Arabidopsis thaliana: one gene and its partner. The protein of the gene in region 2 interacts with the protein of the main gene of each other region in a pairwise test. Each region holds a gene or a part of one and is shown on either strand. Other genes may lie near its edges.

Region 1 (7,842 bases), on a different chromosome or scaffold from region 2:
ATCAGGTTCAAGCACAAGTAAAGTCAAAGGTGTTTTTTTTTTTTTTTTTTTTTTGCAGAATCCTTCTATAAAATCTAGTCCCGAGTCTATAGCCGACAAATCAGTTTACCATCATGATGTGAAAATCCAAAAAACAAGGGTAGAAATCAAATCTTTTACCTTTTAGAAACTTGTCTTTTTCTTGAAAATGTTCATTATGGTTATTGTCTTCTCTTTGAGTGCAGGAAGAATTCTCCAAACCTTGTGCTTATGGTTACCTAAACCCTAATTACATTCTAGTAGAAAGTGAAATTGATCAATGGAGAGAGAGAAAAGAGATAAGGGTGGAAAAAGGTGTCCTTTCATCTTATTCCTGAGTAGAAATGTTTTTAGCTGTTAAGGGCTCAAGGCAATGGCACTATGGAACTTCGCCGTTACACTTAGGTCGGAGTACTCTCAAATTTTGGTATATCTGCTATATGATCCGACTCTAATCCTTAAGAGTATTAAAATTAATTATCTATATTTAATTTGGAAAAATAAATACCTGATAAAAATTAGTCGATTTGCTGAATAACCGATAAAAATAAATCGATTTGTTGACTACCTGACATATTATATTTATCCATATTACTACATTTAGTTGATATCTAAAATTATACTATTAGAAATTCAAGTCTCCTAAATGTTTCTTAAGACCATCTTCATTGAAGATGCCCTAAATATAAAAGAAAAAATAGAGATCTATATTTTAGAGATAAAAATAGAAATTGGTTAGAATGAAATAGAAATAAAAATAGAGTATAAAGTTAAAAATAAAAATGAGTTGAAAATGCTATAAAATGCAATTATCACTTTTAATATGTTTCATTTTTTATTATTACTTTTTTTTTTTTTGTGAACTCATTATTTATTATTATCTTACTTTAATTTTTCTCACATAGTAAGCCAATTTTATTCCACGCATGTGGTGGACAAAGGAGTCAACTTCTCCTAGTGGGCCAAAGAGCGTGGGTCGAACATCAAGCCATTGGCTATAAGAAAAGTTATATTACTTTCTGTTGTTTTTGTCGGACTTCTTTTTCTGTTTTATTACTATAGTTGCATGCGTTTTATTAAAGTTCTTTCTTTTTTCAGGTTAATATTAGGGTTGATTTACTCAATAACCATATTAGATACAAGATTCACAATCAAGAAAAGAATATAACACTATATTTATAAAATAAATCAAAATTGTAGGTAATCACCTTCTTCATTTGTGTATTTACGAAGTGCACTTTGACAAGCATCCCACAAATTTTATATGAAATACAAATTTCCTAAAATTCATTTTTTATTTTGATCCTTTTACTAGAAAGCCACGTACGTAACCTAATCTCGTACACACATTTCTTACTTCTTTTAGATAAAGACACACTCACACACATTTCTTTCTTCCCTTCAATCTATATATACATTTTTGCAACCATTTTGTGAAATAAATCCTCAAGTTGGAACTTATTTACAAAGAATGCCATTGGCATTAATTATCATCAATTAATTAATATTCTTAATTATTAGCATTTCCTTATCTAATATATCTCCATCAATTCTAATTACTTTTAAAAAAAAGAAATTTTAGGACTTTATTAATATTATATTTTATTAAAGATAAATATTATAGTTATTTAAAGTTTATAAAATATTTAGAATATTTAACGAAAAAACGTTAAGAATATATATTATATATGAAATCTATAAAATTAAATAACTATTTCAAAAGAACACTTTTAAATTGATTTGAATTATAAATCTTTTAATAAAAATATTATTAGAACAAAAAGTAATAATGTTTAATTTTACCGAACTGGATTAGATGGTGGGACATGTTTACAATATTATAATGTATGGATTTTATAACAATTAAATAACCATTTGAAATAAATTTTTAAATTAATTTAAATTATAGATCTTTTAAATTAAAGTATTATTTAAACAAAAATAACAGAAACAAAATGTTTAATTTCACTGAACGTGGTTAGATGGTAGGACGGGTTTTGGGTCGACAGTAATACGAGACGGTATAGCACGGGTGAAATCCATTAGATATGTTTAGTTTCACTGAACGGGATTAGATGGTAGGACGGGTTTGAGTCGATAGTAATACGAAACGGTATACCACGTGTGAAGTCCTAAATATAACAATCAAAATATAATTATATTATCTTAAATACTAAACAAAACAATTATAAAATAAAAATATAATTAAATTTTAAATTATTTAGTTATAATCTAGATTTTAACTTAATGAACTGTACGTTATTGTTCTTATATTTTAAACAGTAAAAGTTAAACATAGTAATTGTATACTAAATAATATACAGATATAAGAGTTGTATATTCAGAAAATACAAAATATTAAATCATATATTTTTAATCGACTAAACAAATTATATTTTTATTCTTAAAAAAACAAAATAGTCTCGCGGTGTACCGCGGGTTAAAACCTAGTTATTACATTAAAAGTGTAAACTACTTTACATCGATGTCAGCATATGCATCATTTTTTTTAGCTCGTATCTTTAAATTCTTATTACATTGACATAGATGCTTAAATACTTCATTAAGGGAATATTATACGATTAGATTATTAGTTAACGTAAGTAGGTACGCATCTACGTTCTTCTTCCCCCACAGCCATTCTCCCTCTGGCAGTTGAAGTAAGAGGCAGCCACAGGAAGACCAAGATTGTAGATCTCAGCAAACTCACGAGTGTTGAACTGTTGGCGCCACCCCGGTGCATAAACCGTTTGTCTTCCGAGTTGCCGGAACAATACCAACACAATACGATGAATTCCCGAGGGGGGACGTGGACTCTCGTAGCACACCACCTCATTGCCTGATAAACAATCATAAACACAAATATTAATTAGCCCTTCCTAATTTGTCCACTAGGTAAGTGTTTTGTGTCGCTTATTTTATATAGATTAAAGATTTGATTGTTGCAACATACATATAAATTAAGAAGGCTATATAAAAATAGATATCTTCTTAAGAATATATATGCTCCATGCTAACACTATTCAAAGCCTAAGCTTGGTGATATGAGTTTTATCTATCTTACCTAATGTATCTATACAGAGTTACTTAAACTTACCAAAGGCATTTCCAGTGGTGGCAGGTATATCAGTCACCAACCTGTAACGAGAGTATTATCCATTAAAGTTAAAGATATGGTGCAGTGCAACCTGCAGATAGTTAACTAAATTCGACTAAAAAACAAAGCATGCATCAAAGTTTTTGAAAGTTTCGTCTAAAGCATGTAGAAAAGGTCAGACTATGAAGAATAGACGTTTGTTGCGTGCAAGCTATGATATAACATGACACACACACACACTAAAACAAAAACTAACTCTGACCACAAAGTCATGTTCTATTCCTGTTTAAAGTCTCTATGTTGGATGTATACGTAAGACATCTTTTTTCTTGACAAGTTGCTGCTCTCTTAAAGTTGATTCTGTATGTCCCCTTCTATTATTAGTAAAAATCTAAAATATCGTTTTTTGTGTGTCACTTGAGATATGTATTGAATCTCTAAATTTTAAAGTCTTTTTCTAATTCCCATATATACCTTACCTATTTGTTTTCTATTTATACTCGAAAATAAGTGTGATGCACGATCTAAAGTTAAGTTAAATGAAATGAAGAGATATGATACAAACCAGTGGAGATATTCTCGTTGGTGAGGGTTGCTTGGACTCGGCACATCTGGATCCACCATAACCTTTATTAAACCCATCAACAACCGTATAAGAGAGAAGATCGATTATGAATATATTAAAGCAATCAAGAAATTAAATCATGAGTTTGATTTTTTTTTTTTAACTCTTGAAAAGTGATAACACACATTAAGACGAAGAAGTTAACCAAAAGTTAATAGAAAAAGAAGTAAAGACGAAGAAGCTTAAATTAGAAAAAGGTAATAGTAACATTTTCCATTAATATAAGGGTATCTAAAAATACTGGCTTTACTATTCAGATTCAAAAGTCGTTAAAATAAGTGTCAATTAAGATATTTATGCTTTTCTAAAGGTATGTATCCTAGAATAAAAAAACTAAAATAAAAATAAAAGCGAAACAAAATCAAGTTAACCGTCTCTTGAAAACGTAATATATATAATCGAGAAAGATTCAAAATTGATTTAAAATAATAATCAAACCAATAACAGTTATGCATGCAAGAAGTTAGAGGAAACGCAGCAGGTATATAGATGAGGCTACGAAAGAAAAGAATGATCAAATCTAGTTACGCTTAAATTTGGATATATCTAAGGTTTCTTCGTCAATATATGGAGCTTACGAAAACGAAAGAGTGAGCTACGAGGAACTAAATCAATGAAGATAAGAGGAATGAAGGAGAGAAGATCACCAAGGTGTAGAAATTTCTGAAGTCGTCTCCTCCAATCTCCACTATTGGTTTGTTCAGAACTTGAGAAGGCCTTAGATCCAAGCCATTAGTAACCTCTCTATGGCCATAAGTGACCTTAAGAGAGACCAACCTCGTGAAAGGATCAAGAACATCTCCAACAACACTGCCGACCACAAGAGGATCTCTACGACTTAAAGACATATTTATCTTGGATCTCAAGTATCTCAATCAAATGTTTTGCTTCTTACCTTATGAACCCTTACTTGCTATTCTTTATATAACGTTTTGGGAATTGCAATAATTAGCTATTTAGCTTTATTCTCTCCAATGAAATCATTACCAGGGTCTTTTCGTGTATAGTTTCGAGAATCTACAACTCGTTCAACGTACGTATATCACTTATAATTCATGTTTTTTTTTTCTTTCCTTTTTTCTAAATTTATAGTATTCTTATTCCAAAACCCACCAGTATAAAACAGAAATAATCATATTCCAAATTATACATCATCCACTTGTTTCTTGCTAGCCACTAGTATGTAATTTATTCTGACTTATCATTGTAACTTCATGAACTATTTAAAATAATGTCACAAGCATATAATATGCTGCATATTTGCGTACGTCACGCATTTTGCGTCACATGTCACTCATTTAAATAGTTAAGGACACTACATTACACCGATTATGTATGATGTTAATGCATTTTAGAATAACTCCTTCAACCTAAACCATCATATAAAAGTATATATGCTCCAGATAAATTGACGCCATAATTGTTCACATATCTGGTTGGTGTGTACATACGTACTAGACTCTTTTTTTTCTTTTCTTAATGTAGTACTAAACTTAATTAATACCATCAAAAATATCAATTTAACAAAACAAACCAGTAAAACTTTTAAAACAATGGAGTAAATCAAATAAAACAAGTAAATTAACAAATAGACACAAGGTAACAGAAGTATAATAACGACAGAAAAGTGAACAATTGGCCAAAAAATTCGTTTTCAAACGTGATTTCAAAATTGTCTCCAAATCTTAAATGTTGATAAAGTAATTTTTTTAAAATTCATTATACCTTTCAAAAACAAGTGTATTACCTAAAAGCTCAACCGTGTATTCTTACACTCCAAACAAATTTAGTTCCCCAAGTTTGGAAGACAAAAATTTCTAAGAAATTTCTGACAAAACACATGAGAAATAAACCGATAAAGACTTCTAAAAACTATTGCAGACCAGTTTCATTTGCTGACCACAAAAAGTCATGAGAATACAATTAGCTCAGTGATTCTTGATATTTCTGGTACCTAACAAAAAGAAAAGTGTGTGAGGTTAGATGGCTATGATTTTTGCTCTCCAATTTATTGTCCATTTCCCCAATTTGTAATATGAAATGCGCAAATTACTCTTCTTCCGATATGAATAAGCAAACGAAAACATACGTGGGACGTTATGTTCAGAACATTTGATTAAAGTTTATATGCGATTTTCATTTATTTATTATGAATTTTTTGTTTGGCAGCATGTACGATTTTTCATTTAACACACAAATATTATAGAATTTTCATTGGTTCAAAGGGGTAGACAAAAAATAATTTAATATTATTACACCATTTGCAGAAAATTAGAAAATATATTTTTACCCATAATTAATTGATCTATGGACGTATGCTTGGCATAAAAATTCATATTTAATTAGCAGAAGCCAATCGCTGCGTTTGTATATACGCGTTTATGACCGAGAAAAAAACCCTTACGCGTCATGTAAAAAAAAAAGAAGCGTAAATTACGAAAAACAGAGAGATAAATCCGGGCATTGAGATTTTGGAGATAGAGAGAGAGAAAAATCGAAATCTATTGTCTATCTCCTCAATTTGGATTGGATTTTCTGCATATCATCGCTCTAGCTTTCGCGGGTTTTGGATTCGATTCCTTACCCTTCTCCAATCGGTAAGAACAAGCTCCAAAGTTTGTTCCTTTTTTTCAATTTTCGCCAATTCTGTAATCTCATCATTGTCCTTGTTTGTTTGTTTGATTCAACACACAATTCTTGTTTTGATTTGGATGCAGAAGTTTTTGGCTTTGAATTGGATTTGGGTTTCGTTCCAAAATCAGCTCTTTTTGTTAATCAGGTGAGTTTTTAGGTATTTGAATCTCCAATTGCTTCCTTGCAATGACTAAGTATTGTGAAATGTTTAGGGTTTCATCTGTGTGGGTCTTGTTTTGAAGCAATTTGTGTGTGTTTGGATGAAAGTAGCAGATATGCAGGACCAGCTGGTGTGTCATGGTTGTAGGAATTTATTGATGTATCCTAGAGGAGCATCTAATGTGCGTTGTGCGTTATGTAACACTATCAACATGGTTCCTCCTCCTCCTCCACCTCACGGTATCGATTTCTTTGTTGAATTTGAATTGAGGATGAGGTTAATATGCTCTGCAATTGTATTATAACTTGGGTTCTGATTCTGAATACAGACATGGCACACATTATATGTGGTGGTTGTAGAACAATGCTTATGTATACGCGTGGGGCTAGTAGCGTAAGATGCTCTTGCTGTCAAACTACGAACCTTGTGCCAGGTATATTAATAATATCGTGACATCCATATCAATCCTTTTAAAGACCATGTATTATATTGCTTTATAAGGTCTTTTAGTCCTTTAGAATCTTCTTTCACACTTTTGTTTGATAACATTGTTCTGTGGAGATGATGCTTACGTAACGTATTTCCACTTTTCCCAAAGATGTATATGAATCTGAATTCTGAAAATATCTGGGATTTGTAAAGCAGCTGAAAGTACTTAAAACAAAGCTTTTAGATGGTCCCGGTGGACTAGGTAACTACTTGTTAGAGCTAGTAGGGTTTATTATTGTTTTGTTTGATCTACCATTAGATTCTTATCTTTAATTAGCGTCTAAGCTGTTGTCATTTAGCTGTATGATTATCATTTATCCATGACTGCTTAAGAACATTGCTGATTACTTCGTTCATTAGTATTTCTTGGATTTTTCTAGCATTAACATTGCTTGTTTTCTGAATCTGTGCGTGTCTTTTTTGAAATCGACAGCGCACTCCAATCAGGTTGCCCATGCTCCTTCCAGTCAGGTTGCGCAGATCAATTGTGGGCATTGTCGGACGACCCTCATGTATCCTTACGGTGCATCATCCGTCAAATGCGCTGTTTGTCAATTCGTAACTAACGTTAATGTGATTATTCCTATCTATTAAGCCACCTCTGCATGGTTGAGTTAAGTATAGAGATCTTTCTGTTGGAAATTTTCATTTCTGATTCATTTTGCATCCTTAGATGAGCAATGGAAGGGTACCTCTCCCAACTAACCGGCCAAATGGAACAGCTTGTCCCCCCTCTACATCAACTGTGAGTTATCAAATTATGAATTTGTAATAGTTCTGTATATTCTTATGGAACTGGTACTTACTCTGTTCATCGAT
Region 2 (8,377 bases):
TAAGAAAATTAGTCACCTTTTAAGTTCTTCCAGTTTGTCCCTTTTCTGGTTTGTTTTCTGTACTCTAAATTAAAAGAGACATTATTTAACTAATTTGGGTTTTCATTTGATTTTGGCATTTTCTTCTTCTTTTAGTTATCACCGCAGATTATTATTATTATTTATTTTATTTTAAATTCTAAAATATGTTTAATCTTTGAAACCTTGACAAATGTAGGCATGTGGCCTCTTTATCTATCTACTTTAACTTTCTGTTGTTCTTCTAAGTTGTCACATAGTTGATTTTGTTTTTCTTTTTCTGCGAGAATAACCGTGGTTTAGGAATCCTCTGACTGTCACTCTCTTTATAGTTCAATCACATTTTCTACCTTACTAGTGCTTTGCTTATTTGGAAACCATCATACCAAGTCACTAGATATATTCAAAGTTAGCTCATATCGTTGATAAAATTAATCGTTTCAAAAAAGAATTCGACCTGATCGAGTCAAAGACAATTGGATTCTCATTGTGTTTTCATGTTTGGGATTGCCTTGCACATGACTTCATAGAAACATAAGCATACGTTTTTGTCGACTTATTGATAAAATCCAAACATATTAGACCGGTGTATCAAAAAAGTTATGTTATGAAGTTGTTGATAATTTTTATTATAGAAATATTGTTTCCTTTCTTTTTCTTTGTGTACTTGTTCATTTTTCTCTTTCTCAAATGTCTCTTTATTCTTTTAACTTACTTTTGTCATTTCAATGATCTCAATGTCATTGAAGTAGTTTTTACATTTTCCATATATATTCCTTCCTAATATTTGGACACTTCGTGTTTGGGACTTCTTTAATCCCTTACTGCGCTATAATCTCTTCCTCCAGTACTTAATTAATTGTCTAGGAACTAGTACAATCAAATCAAACTTCACATTAAAAACAAAACACTAAATTAATCCTCCCCACATTGTCTTTTATGTTTGGGGCTAAGATGTAATATTAATGGATCCATGTATATCATCATGTGTGTTTGCAAATTAACTAAGACACAATTCAAACATCTTGACTCAACTTTTATAAAGCATTGTAATTCAAATTATAATTTCTAGTTTAGTTACTTTAATAATTATGTCATCCATAGAGGCTCAATTTTTTTATTGATAACCAAAAAAGTTCCATAATAGCTCTTATGTATCAAGTTTCCACATCTGATATTAGTATATATATATATTACAGTCAATGTCTTAGTATCAGATGCCTATATAAAATTTTAATTCTGATAAATAACGAAACTTTATGAGGCTGTAGATGAATTTTACTAGATATTTTAGTAGTTTTTTTTTTCTAGTTTTTTTTTTTCTAGTGATATGGACGCATGTGTGCGTTCTTAGGAGCAAACGCCAAATCATAGACCAAAGAAAAAGTTGGGAACCAAGGTAGCTAATATAGGAAAACAAACATAATGAGATTTTCACAAAAAAGAGGTTTCATAAGAGAACTGTGAAAATATGCATTTTGTAAATTTATCATAGAAAAAAGTTTTTTTCATAAAAATCATAAAGACACAACTATTATTTTAATTGGAAAATGGCTTAATGCTTAAAAAAAATTAATGTCTTATATTCACAAAACCTTTTTAAATTTCTCTTTATGCAAATTAACTTTAACATAATATATATATATATATATATATATATATGTACACATATATTTATGTATATTTCAAGGGTAGAATATACCGGCATGTGTGGTCTGAAGCTCACAGTTGTGTAATTTTGGATGATTTGACATTTTCCCACGCCGGTCTACAACAACAACGACCACCCAAGGTTTGATAGCAACCTATTATAGCATAAATGTGGAATACAAACTACAAAGACCAACAGCTTAATTAGTGCAACATATCATCAGGTTTCATAACTTTTAACCCCTTGTAGGATCTATCTAGAAGTACTGTATATAATTTTAATTTGTTTATAATAATTAATATTTATCATGGAAACTCTAGTTAGGGAACATGATATACCAAACTGAGTAAACCAAACTCTCCAAATTAAGTAACTCAAACTTATCACAATAGAGAAGTAACTTACTACTCCCAAGACATTTCGATTTATTAGAGCAGAACTTATCATTGGTTAAGGGAAAAAGCAAATAGCTTCACATCAGTTATAAAAAATATATTTGAAAATGATAAAGTTTCCACGTAATATATTACACAAATTACGCATATATGAACTTGTCTGTATACAATGTACGTTAACCCACTTATACATAGATCACAAGCCTAGTGATACCCGATACGTTTGTCGATCGCATTTAACTTAATAGGCTTGAAAGGTTTTGAATTGCCTGATTACTAGAACTGACGTCCAGGTCTCAGAAGGAATATAGATTGAGAATGTATTGAATCATGAATCTTAACTTATATAATTTTGTCATCAGTTTGTCACGTTTCCTTTTGTTTTTGTCATTTGTTGTATTCCTAAAAGCAAACGATAGACAAACTTAACAACACAGAGATAATATTAACAAACAACGTTTAAAGGATACATATCAGTTAAAAATCCACTCGAACTATGAAAACAAAATATTATACAAATTGCATTAATTTCTTCACATAGGTTTAATATTTGACACTAAAATGACGAAAAAGCCTTCATATAAACATGATTAATTACGATGTTAAGAAAAAAAAACATAAGATGGATTAACATATCTCTCTCACCAAACTATATATCATTAATTTGAGATATTAATGTTAAATGAAATCAGTTTCAATACATGTTTTGATAGTTGTGCATGAGGTCTCTTGGTTTCGCGCCGAAGGAGTAATGAAGATCCGTAAACTGATGCTGCTGCAAGGTACATAGCCCCAAAAAAAAAAAAATCGATGAAAATTTGAACAATAAAAACCATAATAGTATAACCAAGTCAGTTAAAAAAAACCGGCGCCTTTGAATCGCTGATGTGGAACTAGATAGTAATAACCAAGTACCAATCCACAAAACACAAAAACTAACTTCTAATTAAACTATATATAGCATTAATTAATCGATGGTGGTGCATTAGTGTCATTGAATTTGATATACCCTACCTCTAAAACTTGAATTAACTGTGTATAGCTTTAGATAAAACCATTGGAAAAAAACTCATAAAAATTATAAATGTGACTCGTAGATATAAATAAGGTACCTCAATGGAATTAGCTGCTCCTTGGCTGCGATGGTGGTTAATCACTGGGAATGATGAGTTCGGTTTGTAGTTGACTAAGTCATAAGATTCATTTGAAATGTGATCTTTCTTATTCATGATAAATTCGTTGCAAACTGCAAAACGATCGTTCTTGCAAAGTTCTTCGATCTTGTCTTCGCAGTGTGTCATCTCAAAAGAACTCCGATTCACTTGGCTTCTATTATTATTCTTTATTATCTCACCATGATCATGAGCGTCTTCTTCCACAACTTTCACTAATTGTGATCTTCCTTTCATCTTCATCATCATTTTCTCCATTGTTCTACCCTTTGCTCTTTCTCTAGCTTTCGCTCTCTCCTCCTTGGACAACTTCTTTAAAATGGGCGTTCGCGGTTCTGGCCTCTTTCTCTTCCCTCTCATCGATCTCCCATCGACCTTGTTTCCTCTTGTTTCTAATGTATAAGATAATTTATCTTTTGTAACATTTTGATAGAAAGTACTCTATATATAATTGTAAATCAGAAAGGCAACGGTTAAGGTCGTACCGGTCGTGTTAGTATTGCTGCCTCTATCGTCGACCGTCCACATGGATGCAAGTTCACATAGATCAGAAGATGTGTCCATGGATCCTAACACCGGTCCTTAATTAATTAGGAAATTTACAATTTTCAGATTATGATATAAAAAAATTCATAGAAGTTGAAAACTTGAATAGACTTAAAACTAGAAAAGAATGGATACTTACGGATATGAGACTCATCGCCGCTGCTGAAGCAGCCATGGTGAGAAAGGGTTGTCGCGATCTTTATGATCTCAGGTTTTGCTTGTGTAAGCAACCATTCAACGGTTTTGCTGGCTTTGTCAAATCCAAGCATGTCTTGTAAGCCAAACAACTCTTTGGCGACATCTAGCGAGAGTCTCATCCTACGATCTCGTGTCCCTTTGGCCGTTTTGATCTTGCTGTGCCTGTCCGTTCTGCTGGGTTTCTTGGCTTTTTTCATTTTTGGGTCTTGAGAAGTTGAGATTCTCTGGGAATCTTCTATAAGGTTTATAGTTTCCGAGGGCTCAGTGGGTTGTTCTACAATGGTGTTGTTCAAGGGAAAGTGAAGTGATGGATGATGATTGTCGTTTGGGATGGTTTGGTTATCATCATGGCCATTGTTTTCTGGGTGGAAAGAGGTGAGGAGGGCGCAGTCCGGGGCAAATTCGAAGTGAGAAAAAGGAGAAGGTTGTTGGAATTGATGATGATGGTCAAGATGATTGTTTGATGTGTTAGAGGTGGAGTGAATCAAGATGTCGTTAATGGAAGAAGAAGGGCTAAAAGGGAGCAATGGTTGTGAGGAATAATGGTCATTATAAGGGAATAACATGTAGTCGTCATTGATGGTGGTAGTAGTACTGAAAATGTTGTTGTTCATGCCTTTTTAGGGGTTTTTGAAGTAACAAAATTAAAAAACCCTAAGACAAAATTTTGAGAATGACACTTGTACTATAATCTTCTTCAGACACACAAGAAAAAAGAGAAGAAAATGAAAGAAAGTTTGAATCAAAGAGAAAGGTTACTGTTCCAATGACGAAGACATTGATCTCAAGTCTCAACCAAAATGAAAACAAGAAAATTAGAAAGAGAGATTTCTTTTTTTCCTTAGCCTGCAAAATCAAGAAAAAAAAAGAGCAGTAATAGTGATTAGTCAGATAGTACAATATGTCTTTGTTCTAGAGAATCTATGTGTGTGTCTAAATGTGTAGAGAGAGAATACCTTTATCGAAGCAAAGGACTAATGGTTGAGAAAGACAACACAGGCGACGTACTTAAATGAGTCTATGTGCTATGAACTAGAATGGAGAGAAAGAGAGAGAAAAAGAGAGAGAGAGGGAGAGCTATATGGAGAGAGAGGCAAAGAGATCATTATGGGGGAAGGAACAACATATAAGCCTTTGAAAAAGCATTTATTTTGTTTATATATTTTTCTTAATTCCTAGCTTCGGCATGATAAAAATATATTCGTTTTTGTTTTTTGTGAAAATGTGATAATAGATGTTCGTTTTATTTGATTATCAAGATTTTTTTCTATAATTAGGACCTTGTGTTTGTTTATGTTCTTATATTTCTTTGAGATAGTTCATTACTAATATGTAGATAAGAACTCAGTATAATTATTTGATAGATATTAAATTGTTGACAGCTATATTTCAACTAATCAAAGATTGTATATATCTTTAAAATTAATAGCATGCACTAAAAGATGCCTAAAAATAGTTAATTCAATATAAAATATTTCACTGTATTTACTATAGAATATATGTTATAACTTTAGGATTTAGCTAGAATAATTAATATTACAGTTTCTTGACAGAACATATATTTACCAATTACATTAACATTTCACTTTAAATAAACAGATCTTTATTTAAATTATTGAAATGACATTTAAAATTTAGTTAGATAGATTTTTCCACATTGATTATATTTTTTAATATTTTTAGTAGATAAAGATCAAGGTATAACTAAATGAAAGAAATAAAAGGTAATGAGATTTAATTTCACCCAAAAATAGACATATAAATGTATGTTTGCATATTAAGAAGATCAAAATAAAAAGTTGAATAGAAATAAATATGAGATAAAATTAAGGATAAATTTTATTATTAGTTATGCCTTTATTTGGAAAAGGATTAATAGAAGAAAAGTTAGAAGATTTTAGATTATGTCTAAAGGAAATAGGAACAAGGAATATATAATTAAAATATATATAAAATATTGATTTGCATTTCACCGTAAGAAAGAACTAAGGTCAAATAAAATTATAAAGTTTTGTTTGGTGGTATTTTTCAAAACACTATAAACAACTTTTTCATATTTTTAAAGAGTATTTTGGTGTAATTCTTATGACTTCATATGTACACTAACTATTGATATATTGCATTTGTTCAGATAACAATTTTTGTATCTCTATCTAATAATTTTTATACATAGGACACAAATATTGTTATTCCAAAACTTCTATCCATTCTTAAGTCCAAATCTTTTATTTGTTGTTTCATAAATAAAAAACTTATACTAGATCAAAAAAAATATTTGACAAAAAAATCTTATATTAGATAATCTATCGAACTGAATGGGTTGTAAAAACTGAATCATCAATCATGGCGATCCCTCAAGAAAACCATACAGATCAGTAATATTTTTTAATTCCATTTTCTTGTGCCAACTTTTAGGTTTAAATACATTTATTTATTGTTGTAAAATATTATTAATTGTATTTTAAAGTATAAAATATGAATTCTTATATTATAATATATATATATATATATATATTATTGAGAATATCAAATAAATTTAAACACTGTTATAACAATTTATATCCATCATGGATGTTTCTCAAAATTAAGTATAGACATAGATGATTGTTCTAAATTGATTGTTATGCAACATCCTCTTCTGTAAATTATTAGTAAAAAAGGGTAGCTCCTTTTTCTTACGTAGACTTATTGGAATCCAATTGAGTTCAAATAGCAAAACTGACGAACGCATTGGACGAATTTCTCTTCTCTTCTTTTACCAAAAAAAAAAAAAAGAATTTCTCTTCTTTTTTTTTATGTAAAGAAACAAAAAACATCTCTTTGTTTTCATATTTGTGATACAAAACTTGAAAACAAGATCAAAACTCGGATTGGAATTTTTGGTCTCATATCACAAAATCCTTCTTCCTAGCTCTAAGACATTGATTTTCATGATATGGAGAAAATAATCTTTTTGCTATAGGAGAGTTAAAATACAAAGTTTCATTTTCAAATTGGAGGAATGCACGTGGCTGTGTGAAGCCCTAAGAAAAGAAGGCTGCAATAATTTTAGGAAGAAAAGAAAAAAGCTTTGCCTCTCTGTTCAGTATTGCATGACCGACCAATCTTTTATTTTCTTTTGACTCTCTCTCTCACACACACACTCTCTCATACTTATGTTATAACTTAGAAGTCGCTTTCGCTAAAAAGAGAACCTCTTTTCTCTCTCGTGCTTATCTTGTAAGCTTTTGTATCATTATTTTCCCTTGTATTTTTGTGAAAAAAACATATTTTAGAAATATCTCTTCGCTTAAAAGCAATATTAGAAGTTAGAAGTTAATACGGTTAACGGTCGTTAAGAGTTTATTAATTAGGTAGTTATGTTGACCTTGTCAGCTGTGTTAAGTGATGTGATGCATGTTTTTAGAAATAACTAACAAGAGATAAAAGTCACTAATCCACATCTATATACATGCACGTAGGTAAAGTACAAACTTAGGAGTTACGTGCAAAGATGAAACACTATCATTGTAAATAAAAACTCCTATTTTGGTCATCCATTGTTATCCACTCTTTCCATTTATACATGCCGCCTTCTCCGCCTAATTATCCACCACATCCCATGCTCTTTCTTCTTTATCTCTCTTCCCTCTCTCTCTATCTCTAGGCCTGCAATTATCAGGAGGACCACATGACTATAATGGTTGGACTCGCTGGCTTCTTCTAAGGTTGCTTTCAGTTCTTCTTTCTAATAACCCATGAAGAAGACAACAACATATATCATATCACCAATTTTGAGTTTGTTTCTTTTAATAACAATTTTAAGTTGTTTATTAGTGAGAATCAAAATTTAAGTTTCAATCTTTGGTTAGTCTTTCAATCTTTTTTTTTTTCCTTACAAAAGTTTGGCATTGATGCCCTGAGTGCTTTCATTATGTGTTATATTATCTATCTATTGCCAAAGTTGTTGGTTACAAATCTCAGTCACTCATTATCATCATTCTCAAAGTACAAAATTTATTTTTACTTTGTATAATGGGTTGTCAACTTTTTTTTTCTTTTGGTATTTGTGTGGTTCTTAGGTTGATAATGAATCATTTTCTATATATAGCAAAGAGAGTCAATGCTCTTTTAGATTACCATTCATTCGCGCAATTTCCTTTCATGGAAATGTGTCTGGAAAATTATGTGTTTGTCTCCACTTTTTTAATTTCACAGGCATACTCAATATTGACTTTTCTTCCTTTTCATATTCTTCATTTTAGTTATTTTTTTTCATTTGCCCCCAAAAAAAAAAGTTTTTTTTTCCTAAAATTCTCGAGATCACAAAAAACGAATCTAGAATTTTCTTGTTTGGACGACAACGAAATTAAATAATAATTCTCTAAGAAAAGAAAAGATTGCTACTTTACAAATTT

What was found.
Region 1: the proteins of BRC1 (region 2) and TSF interact in a two-hybrid assay, tested with the Arabidopsis thaliana proteins (one study listed by BioGRID).

What each region holds. Positions count from the first base shown.
Region 1 is NC_003075.7:10,998,378-11,006,219, forward strand, and holds TSF (PEBP (phosphatidylethanolamine-binding protein) family protein), read right to left. Parts: upstream 4,634-7,842; 5' UTR 4,589-4,633; coding exon 4,388-4,588; intron 3,743-4,387; coding exon 3,681-3,742; intron 3,157-3,680; coding exon 3,116-3,156; intron 2,858-3,115; coding exon 2,634-2,857; 3' UTR 2,394-2,633; downstream 1-2,393. Other genes in the region: LSD1 zinc finger family protein, read left to right, coding at 6,650-6,773, 6,863-6,967, 7,053-7,084, 7,180-7,225, 7,457-7,596, 7,697-7,768. UniProt on the Arabidopsis thaliana protein: May form complexes with phosphorylated ligands by interfering with kinases and their effectors.
Region 2 is NC_003074.8:6,379,986-6,388,362, reverse strand, and holds BRC1 (TCP family transcription factor), read right to left. Parts: upstream 5,075-8,377; 5' UTR 4,937-5,074; intron 4,856-4,936; exon of another isoform or gene 4,827-4,855; 5' UTR 4,595-4,826; coding exon 3,922-4,594; intron 3,818-3,921; coding exon 3,722-3,817; intron 3,629-3,721; coding exon 3,093-3,628; 3' UTR 2,840-3,092; coding exon of another isoform or gene 2,759-2,839; 3' UTR 2,548-2,758; downstream 1-2,547. UniProt on the Arabidopsis thaliana protein: Transcription factor that prevents axillary bud outgrowth and delays early axillary bud development. Indirectly required for the auxin-induced control of apical dominance.